Macaca fascicularis: one gene and its partner. The protein of the gene in region 2 interacts with the protein of the main gene of each other region in a pairwise test. Links are inferred from orthologs where the notes say so. Each region holds a gene or a part of one and is shown on either strand. Other genes may lie near its edges. The genes, in order: SHC2 and FLT1.

Evidence for each region.
Region 1: the proteins of FLT1 (region 2) and SHC2 interact in a two-hybrid assay, tested with the Homo sapiens proteins (2 studies listed by BioGRID). The link is inferred for Macaca fascicularis from reciprocal best matches to the Homo sapiens genes FLT1 and SHC2.

The regions. Positions count from the first base shown.
Region 1 is NC_088393.1:996,887-1,000,700, forward strand, and holds part of SHC2 (SHC-transforming protein 2), read right to left. Parts: intron 2,390-3,814; coding exon 2,336-2,389; intron 2,139-2,335; coding exon 2,087-2,138; intron 1,998-2,086; coding exon 1,871-1,997; intron 820-1,870; exon of another isoform or gene 638-819; coding exon 481-637; intron 1-480. UniProt on the Homo sapiens protein: Signaling adapter that couples activated growth factor receptors to signaling pathway in neurons. Involved in the signal transduction pathways of neurotrophin-activated Trk receptors in cortical neurons.
Region 2 is NC_088391.1:8,245,560-8,249,373, forward strand, and holds part of FLT1 (vascular endothelial growth factor receptor 1), read right to left. Parts: intron 3,172-3,814; coding exon 3,049-3,171; intron 1,142-3,048; coding exon 1,030-1,141; intron 1-1,029. UniProt on the Homo sapiens protein: Tyrosine-protein kinase that acts as a cell-surface receptor for VEGFA, VEGFB and PGF, and plays an essential role in the development of embryonic vasculature, the regulation of angiogenesis, cell survival, cell migration, macrophage function, chemotaxis, and cancer cell invasion.

The DNA of each region.
Region 1 (3,814 bases), on a different chromosome or scaffold from region 2:
GATCGTGAGATCGTGAGATGGTGGGTGAGATCGTGAGTGAGATCGTGACAGATTGTGAGTGAGATCGTGAATGAGTCTGAGATCATAAGTGAATGAGTGAGCGAGATCGTGAGTGAGTGAGATCGTGAGATCGTGAGTGAGATGGTGAGTGAGATCGTGAGATCGTGAGATCGTGACAGATTGTGAGTGAGATCGTGAGTGAGATCACAAGTCTGTGAGGGAGTGAACGAGTGAGTGAGTCTGAGTGAGATCGTAAGAGAGATCATGAGTGAGATCATGAGTGAGATCGTGAGTGAGTGAGATCGTGAGTGAGTGAGATCACAAGTCTGTGAGGGAGGGAACGAGTGAGTGAGTCTGAGTGAGAGAGAGACCCTCCTCTAGGATCAAGGAGAACAGGAGCAGAAAGAAGAGCTGGAGGAAGGCCCAGGAGACCAGCAGCTTGGGCATCCCTGCCCCAGTCCCCACGAGGCAGAGGCTGACCTGGCCGAGGGCTGTGAGGGCGCAGGGCTGTGTCAGGGCCAGCCGGGAGTCCACCAGCCCGCCCGGCGGCGGCTCCTTCCCCGGGACGCTGTTGTAGTAACTGTGCTCCACAGCCTCCTCCTCGTCCCCCCAGGCCGACTCCTCTGGCCCCGCCAGCCTGGGGGACAGACAGCAATGGCCGTGGCACAGGCAGGGCCCAAGGGGGCTAAACCCCCACAGCTTGAGCTTCTGGGGGAGCAGGAAGGCCTGAGTTCGAATCCCAGCCCCCCGCCTGTCGCTGAGGGTTCCCACCAGGAAACGCTTCGAGAGCGAGTGACCAGGCCCACTACGTCCTCGTCTCTGAAATGGAAAGTTGCACACATTTCCAAGCTGCAGCACAAAAGGCAGGACGTGGGCAAACCCGGTCTCCACTCCTTTCTGCCCATCTCCGGTGCTGCCCGGCAGCAGAGGGCAGGAGCCAAGTTTATACCCAGAACCAGGACATCGCCGGTCAGGGTGGTAACTCTGGGATCAGAGTGCCCCCGCCCTCCGGCCCCAAAGGCGCTGGCGGGCTCCTCAGCAAGCACGGCCCGAGAGCCAGAGGGGCACACGCCGCCTGGCCCACAATCGCTGCCGGGAGAAATCACAGGGCAGCCTACGGAAGGCAGGGGCAGCTCCAGAGGCAGGCGAGGAACCCGTCCCAGCGTCGGAGCACGCCAAGCAATGTGCGTGGAGCACGCCGTCCCTGTGCACAAAGGGGTGAGCGTGAGCACGCGTGACCAGCAGGGCTGGGAGCTCACGGGCCTGCACCTGCCCTCCCACTGCTGGAGGAACGTGACTTTCTAATGATGAATAGACTTAAATGCCTCCTTCTCCAAGGCCGGCTGGCAAACCCCAGCCCAGGGCCAAATCCAGCTCACTGCCTAGATCTGTGTGTCCCACGAGCTAAGAATGGGCGTTCAGCCTCTAAATCATCAAAGTTAAGTGTTTGAGAAAACATCCAGAGAATCATATTTTGCGACACGTGACATTCACACTTCAATGTCTATGAATAACGTTACCAGCACACAGACACGCCCCCCCTCTACACATCTTCTGCGGTGAGACAGAGGCCGTTGAGCCGGCCGTGCGTCTGGAGGAGGGATGTTGGTTATAGCGGCAGGGCTGACAGCCTCGGGCACACCGGGGAGTCAGCTCGCTCAGTCTCCCCCAGTCCTGGGGGCGGGGATGCGTTCACCCGGGTGTTACAGCCGAGGAAACAGGATTCTCTGGCCGAGCCACATTCTCAGGGGACAGGGAGGGAGGGACAAGGGCAGGACGGAGGCCGAGGCCTGCAGGAGGTGGAGCCGGCTCTACACCCGGGCAGGTCGCTGGGGGCGTCCCCAGGGCATGGGAGAGGCGGGTCTGTTACCTTTCTGGGGGCAGTGCCACCTTGGGTGGGCTGTGCAGGTACTGCTTGAAGCGCAGCTCGAAGGCTTGGCCGACGGTGCTGATGACGCTCTGGGCCAGGCCTTCACAGCACTCCAGGATGTGGCAGGCTGTGGGGGCATTGGTCATGCGGCCTCCAAGCCACACGGCCATGCCCCCCGGCCACGGGACCCCCACCAGCCTCCCCGGGGAGCCTCACCTCTCTGGTTGATGGGGTCCTTGGCGACGTAGGCCACGTAATCCGTCATGTCCTGGGGGCAGGGAGGGGCCAGCTGGACCTGCCTGGGCCCCCCACCGGGATTCCCAGCCACCCACCCCAGCAATGCAGACAGATGGGGCAGTGGATGTGGGCACAGGGTACGTGAGGCGGGCTCTGGGGAAGGGCGAGAGGGTCTCGCGGCTGCAGGGGGCGGCGGGGCTGCAGGTCCACCCCTATCCCTGGCCTCACCGTGTCTCCGCCCGATGCAAAGGAGATGGACGGCATGTGGTGGTTGGCGATGACCTGTGGGGGCAGGAGGCACACGTGGTCATGGGGGCCCCACTACGAGGGCAGGGGGCCCGGCAACTGTACCAGGGCCACAGCGAGGAAGGGGGCAGGGGCAGGGATGTGGGGATGGAGACGTCCCCTGGACAGGCACCCACTGCAGCCGGGTCCTGGGTCAGCCTAGACGACCGAGGCTGGGATGTGGAGGCCCCAGCAGGACGGGACTAGGGCCCTAAGGGGTGTGTGGGGTCCGCAGGTCACACGGGAATGTGAGTGACAGACCACCCCCACTGCAACACCACACAGGCACCTGCCCAGACGCTCACGCACACACATCCCATGCCCCACACATGTGCACACACACACACACCCCCACACACCCGAAGCAGCCGTGGGAGGGCTGGACCCACATTCCTGACTCCCTTGTCTATGTGCAAGAGCACCTGTGAGTGCATTTGCATGCTCATCTGAATGCTCATTTGCATGCTTGTGTGCTTATTTGCATGCTCATTTGCATGTTCATCTGCATGCTCATTTGTGTGCTCATTTGCATGCTTGTGTGCTCATTTGCATGCTTCTTTAATGCTCATTTGCACGCTCATCTGCATGCTTGTGTGCTCATTTGCATGCTCATTTACATGTTTGTGTGCTCATTTGCGTGCTTCTTTGCATGTTCATTTGCACACTCATCTGCATGCTTGTTTGTGTGCTCATTTGCATGCTTGTGTGCTCATTTGCATGCTTTAATGCTCATTTGCACGCTCATCTGCATGCTTGTGTGCTCATTTGCATGCTCATTTACATGCTTGTGTGCTCATTTGCGTGCTTCTTTGCATGCTCATTTGCGCACTCATCTGCATGCTTGTTTGTTGCTCATTTGCATGCTCATTTACATGCTTGTATGCTCGTTTGCATGCTTCTATGCATGCTCATTTGCATGGTTCTGCTTCACTTGCTTCCCGTCACTCAGATCTCTCTAGGCCCCAGTGAACCCCCACTACCAGCCACGTCCTGAGTTCTCCCTACAGAACATCCACTCCTCAGCCCCCACAGGGACCCTGGAGGCTCTCCCCTGGCCAACCCCGGCCCAGCCAGGAGGGTCCGCTCGGAGCCTCAGCGTCCTGTCCGTATGGTGGTCAGGGGTCCGTGCCTCGCAGGGTCGGGGCGGAGATGGAAACTGCGTGGAAACAGCCCTCAGCCACCCCCGGCCAGCTCCATCCTTCTCTAACCTCCTCCCTGAAGCCCCAGCTGACCCTCGCCGCCACCCGCCGCCCCAACGCCAGCCCAGGGACGCTGCCTCGCCCCCAGCCCCTCACGATGGCCCATGCGAACTTCTCCGACAGGGAGACGCCTCCTCTCTCAGCCAGACCTCCCTGAGACCCCCTCCTCACCACCCCCCAGAGCCCTCCAGGAAGTGTCTCCCAGCACACACAGCCCAGCACA
Region 2 (3,814 bases):
TAAGAGGCCTAGGCTTTGCCTTCTGCCGGTTTTACTGCCCAGGATTCCCCTACAACCTTTCCTTTTAGGGGGATTCTTGCCAGGGCTGGGGGTGGCAAGGCCTTCTAATGCACTCTTGTTCTAGCCCTTGAGCCTCATCTACCTCAGCATTTGTTTGTCTGCACTTTCTAGTGATTACTGCTGGTAGGAAGCAGCTGGGAGACGTGCAGTGCTGGCACTGTGTCATTGTGGGGCCACTGCAGCCGCCAAGCTGCTTTCAAAGACTGGAAGCAACAGGTGCCTGTCATCGAAAGCAGGGGAATGATTTTCACACATTACAGGAAACCAGGGATGTTACTGGGTGACTTTTATTTGCTGTGAAAGGCAAATTTTTGGCAAAGCCCAGAAGACTCTTGGCTAGAACTTGAGTTTTGGAGGCCTCAGATCATCACTGTGTGTCTGCAAGCAGATGTGGGCTCTGCAGGCATCTGTGTGCTTTGAACAGGGCTTCTAGCCGCCCATAGTGGATGTTTTTGCAAGCAGAATAAATACAACCAGTGTTCTTTACTGCTCATCCTGTATAATCCGGTGTCCAGAGCCGTATCATGTGTTAATATCAGAGGCACTGGAAAGGTCTCCTGTTTCTAACAGCACTTTCCTCACTGGGTTAGCTGGGCTTATTATGGCCTTTCCTAGGAAGAAATTTTGAGGTGGTGGGAGATGCGGGGAGGGAACGGGTAAGGGCGTTAGAGGTGTGCGTGTTGAGGAATTGGAAAAGGACAGAATCGGAAAAAGTACAGAAAAAGATAAACCCGACTTCAGACTTTATACCCATCTGACCTTGCTCATGATCGTATAAAGCCCTTTTACAGTAGAGGGCAGACAAGCATATGCCATTACTCATCTGAGAGTCTACATGGACCCATGGCACCCTAAGAGTTTTTGTTACAGTAGGAGCTAATCTAAAGGCTATCTAGCCAAAGGACATTCAGCAGAAGATGCAGACATTTATTTCTGGGCTGTTTGATCTCTTCCTTCTCCCAAATTTACCTAAGGAGAAGATTTCCCACAGCAATACTCCGTAAGACCACACGTCGCTCTTGGTGCTGTAGATTTTGTCAAAGATAGATTCAGGAGCCATCCATTTCAGAGGAAGTCGAGTCTGGAAGAGGGCAAAGGGGCCTTGAGCAGAAGGGCATGAAAACAAAGCACATTCAACCCAAGTGCCCATGGGGTCACCTCCCAGATAGCATATGGCCCATAAATCATTTCCTAGAGCAGTTCTGGTTTCTAACATAGAGAACACCACAGTATGCAGTGTTACACTAAAAGAGGGAGCTAGAGTGCTATACTGAGTCCAGTGAAGGCAGTACATGTTCAGTAAGCCCCTCTGATGTGTTCGGCATGTCCTTAACTGCATGGCTCTGTGAGAAATCCTCCCCCACAAAGAAAGCTTGCACTCCACAGGGACACTCAGGGCTTGGAAAAGGAAAAGTGATCTGAATTTGAAGATATCCCGAAAAATGGTGGTGATTTCTAAAAATTTTTCCCAAGAAGGAGGATTTTAAAAGCATTCCTATGCAAAAAGACAAGATTTCAAAAGTCACTGAATAGGGAGAGTGTGCAAAAGCATCAGAAAGAAGAGAAGAAGGAAAGAAGTCAGTGTTGAAAGAGAATATACAGTTGGTTTTCAAGCATGTAGACAAATCTTCCTCTTTTTCAGATAGCAGGAATCCCAGTGAGTTAGGCCTCACCACTTTAGATGATGGGGACTGATGGGAGGTATGGGATAAAGGAGAGACAAGGAGAAAGGAAGTGGGAGGGGCAGGGAGGCTGACTCAGATACAGATGAACAGAAAGGAGGGGTGGACTAACATGAAGGTTGGTGCCATCTCTCCAGACCAGGGCCCCAAGGAAAGTTTGTTTTCCTTTATTTTCTTTTATTTTTACAAAGGGTCAATGCGAAGTCGTATGTTTTGTTTCTATACAAACAGATTGTGGTGCAGTGGCTCTCAAAGTATGGTCCTAGGACCTGCTATGTCAGCACCTTCTAGAACAAGCATGTCCAATTCCTGGCCCGCAGGCCACATGTGGCCTGGGACAGCTTTGAATGCAGCCTGACACAAATTCGTAAACTTTCTTAAAACATTATGAGATGTGTTGCAATTTTTTTTTTTTTTTTTAGCCCATCAGCTATTGTTAGTGTATTTTATGTGTGGCCCAAGATAATTCTTCTTCCAATGTGGCCCAGGAAAGCCAAAGGATTGGACACCCTTGGTGTAGTAACTGGTTAGAAACGCAAATTCTCAGGCTCCACCCAAGACTCACTGACTCAGAAACTCTGGGGGGTGGAAGGCTTGTTAGGCCAGCACACCGTAGCATAACACGCCTTCTAGGCGATATGTATGTTCAATTAAGTTGAGAACCACTACTGTAACTCAGTGGTGCCCAGACACAAGCTTAACCCTCAGGGTATATAGGCTGGAGAAGGGAGGACATGGGACGTCACCTACAAAAGTGAAAAATAACACTATGTCTGAAAACAAGCAGGGAAGAGAAGCCAGTGCGAGCCAGCAGAGAGATGCTAGGCATGGAAGGCCATGGGAAGTAAACAGTCTCCTTCATAGTCAGCTACTGCTGACAGTCTTCCCCGCCCTTTCCTGAGACAGATACACCTGCTGAATCAATCACCCGGGTTTATTTGAGGGAAAGAGTCCAGGCTGTTCTTTTCAGTGGTACAAGGAATTTCCCCAGGATTCAAAGGAAGGTAATGCTAAGGTCTCACCCAGGCCCCACCAAACACTTCTCAGGTTAGCCAGTCTCACGAAGCACTGCCCAAAGGACAGGTGGCAGGCCAGGCATTAGGGGAGAGCAGAACCAGGAGACAGTGGCCTTTCTGAGCCTTACACAAGGGCTCTCTGGGATGCCGCTCCTCTGGACTGCTTGTCTTCACAGAAAGCCAATGATGGTTTTCAGGGACTACAGCTGAGGAAGTGTAAATATTTACCAAGTCTGTTGTTTAAAAGTAATAGGACATAAATGAGTCAAATAAGCATCAAACTGACTTACATCTCCTTTTCTCACATAATCGGGGTTCTTATAAATATCCCGGGCGAGGCCAAAATCACAGATCTTCACCACATTGTTCTCAGATAAAAGAATGTTTCTCGCTGCCAGGTCCCGATGAATGCACTATAATAAAACAGCTGCATAATCAATGCATTTTCTTAACCTAACCAACTAATTTCCTACACCTCTGCATCATTAATCTTAATTTGGTAATCCATTTCCCATGCTGTGAAGGGAGCACCTCTCAGTGCACACTGCTACCATAGACATGAAGAGCCTCTCTACAAATACAGGTCCCCAAGCCCCAAAGTCAAGACATGTTCTGAATCTCCTGGGCTACTATTTGATCAGTGAAGCTGGTTATCTCAGATTTACCAGTGGGCAAACTTGCCCCACAGCCTTTTATCCTGAGCTGCCAAGATGAGATCTTTCTTCAGCTGCAGTTTTGTGGGAGGGCCCCACATGGCTATATTAACAGTTGCTCTCCTATGAAGTCATGTATTGCGATTTGGGCCAGATTTGAAAATACGCCAGAGGGCACTGTGGAGAGCAGATACCAGATTCGTCTAGTCTGACACCTGTGAGTTTTCCCCAGAATTAAGTTCTATCCATCGGTATCCACGACTCCTCATTCTCAAAACTCCTCATATCAGGGCAAATTAAGGTACTTGCAGTGGTGTTTGTTCTACATTTAAGAACACAGGTAAGCCGGGCACGGTGGCTCAAGCCTGTAATCCCAGCACTTTGGGAGGCTGAGACGGGCGGA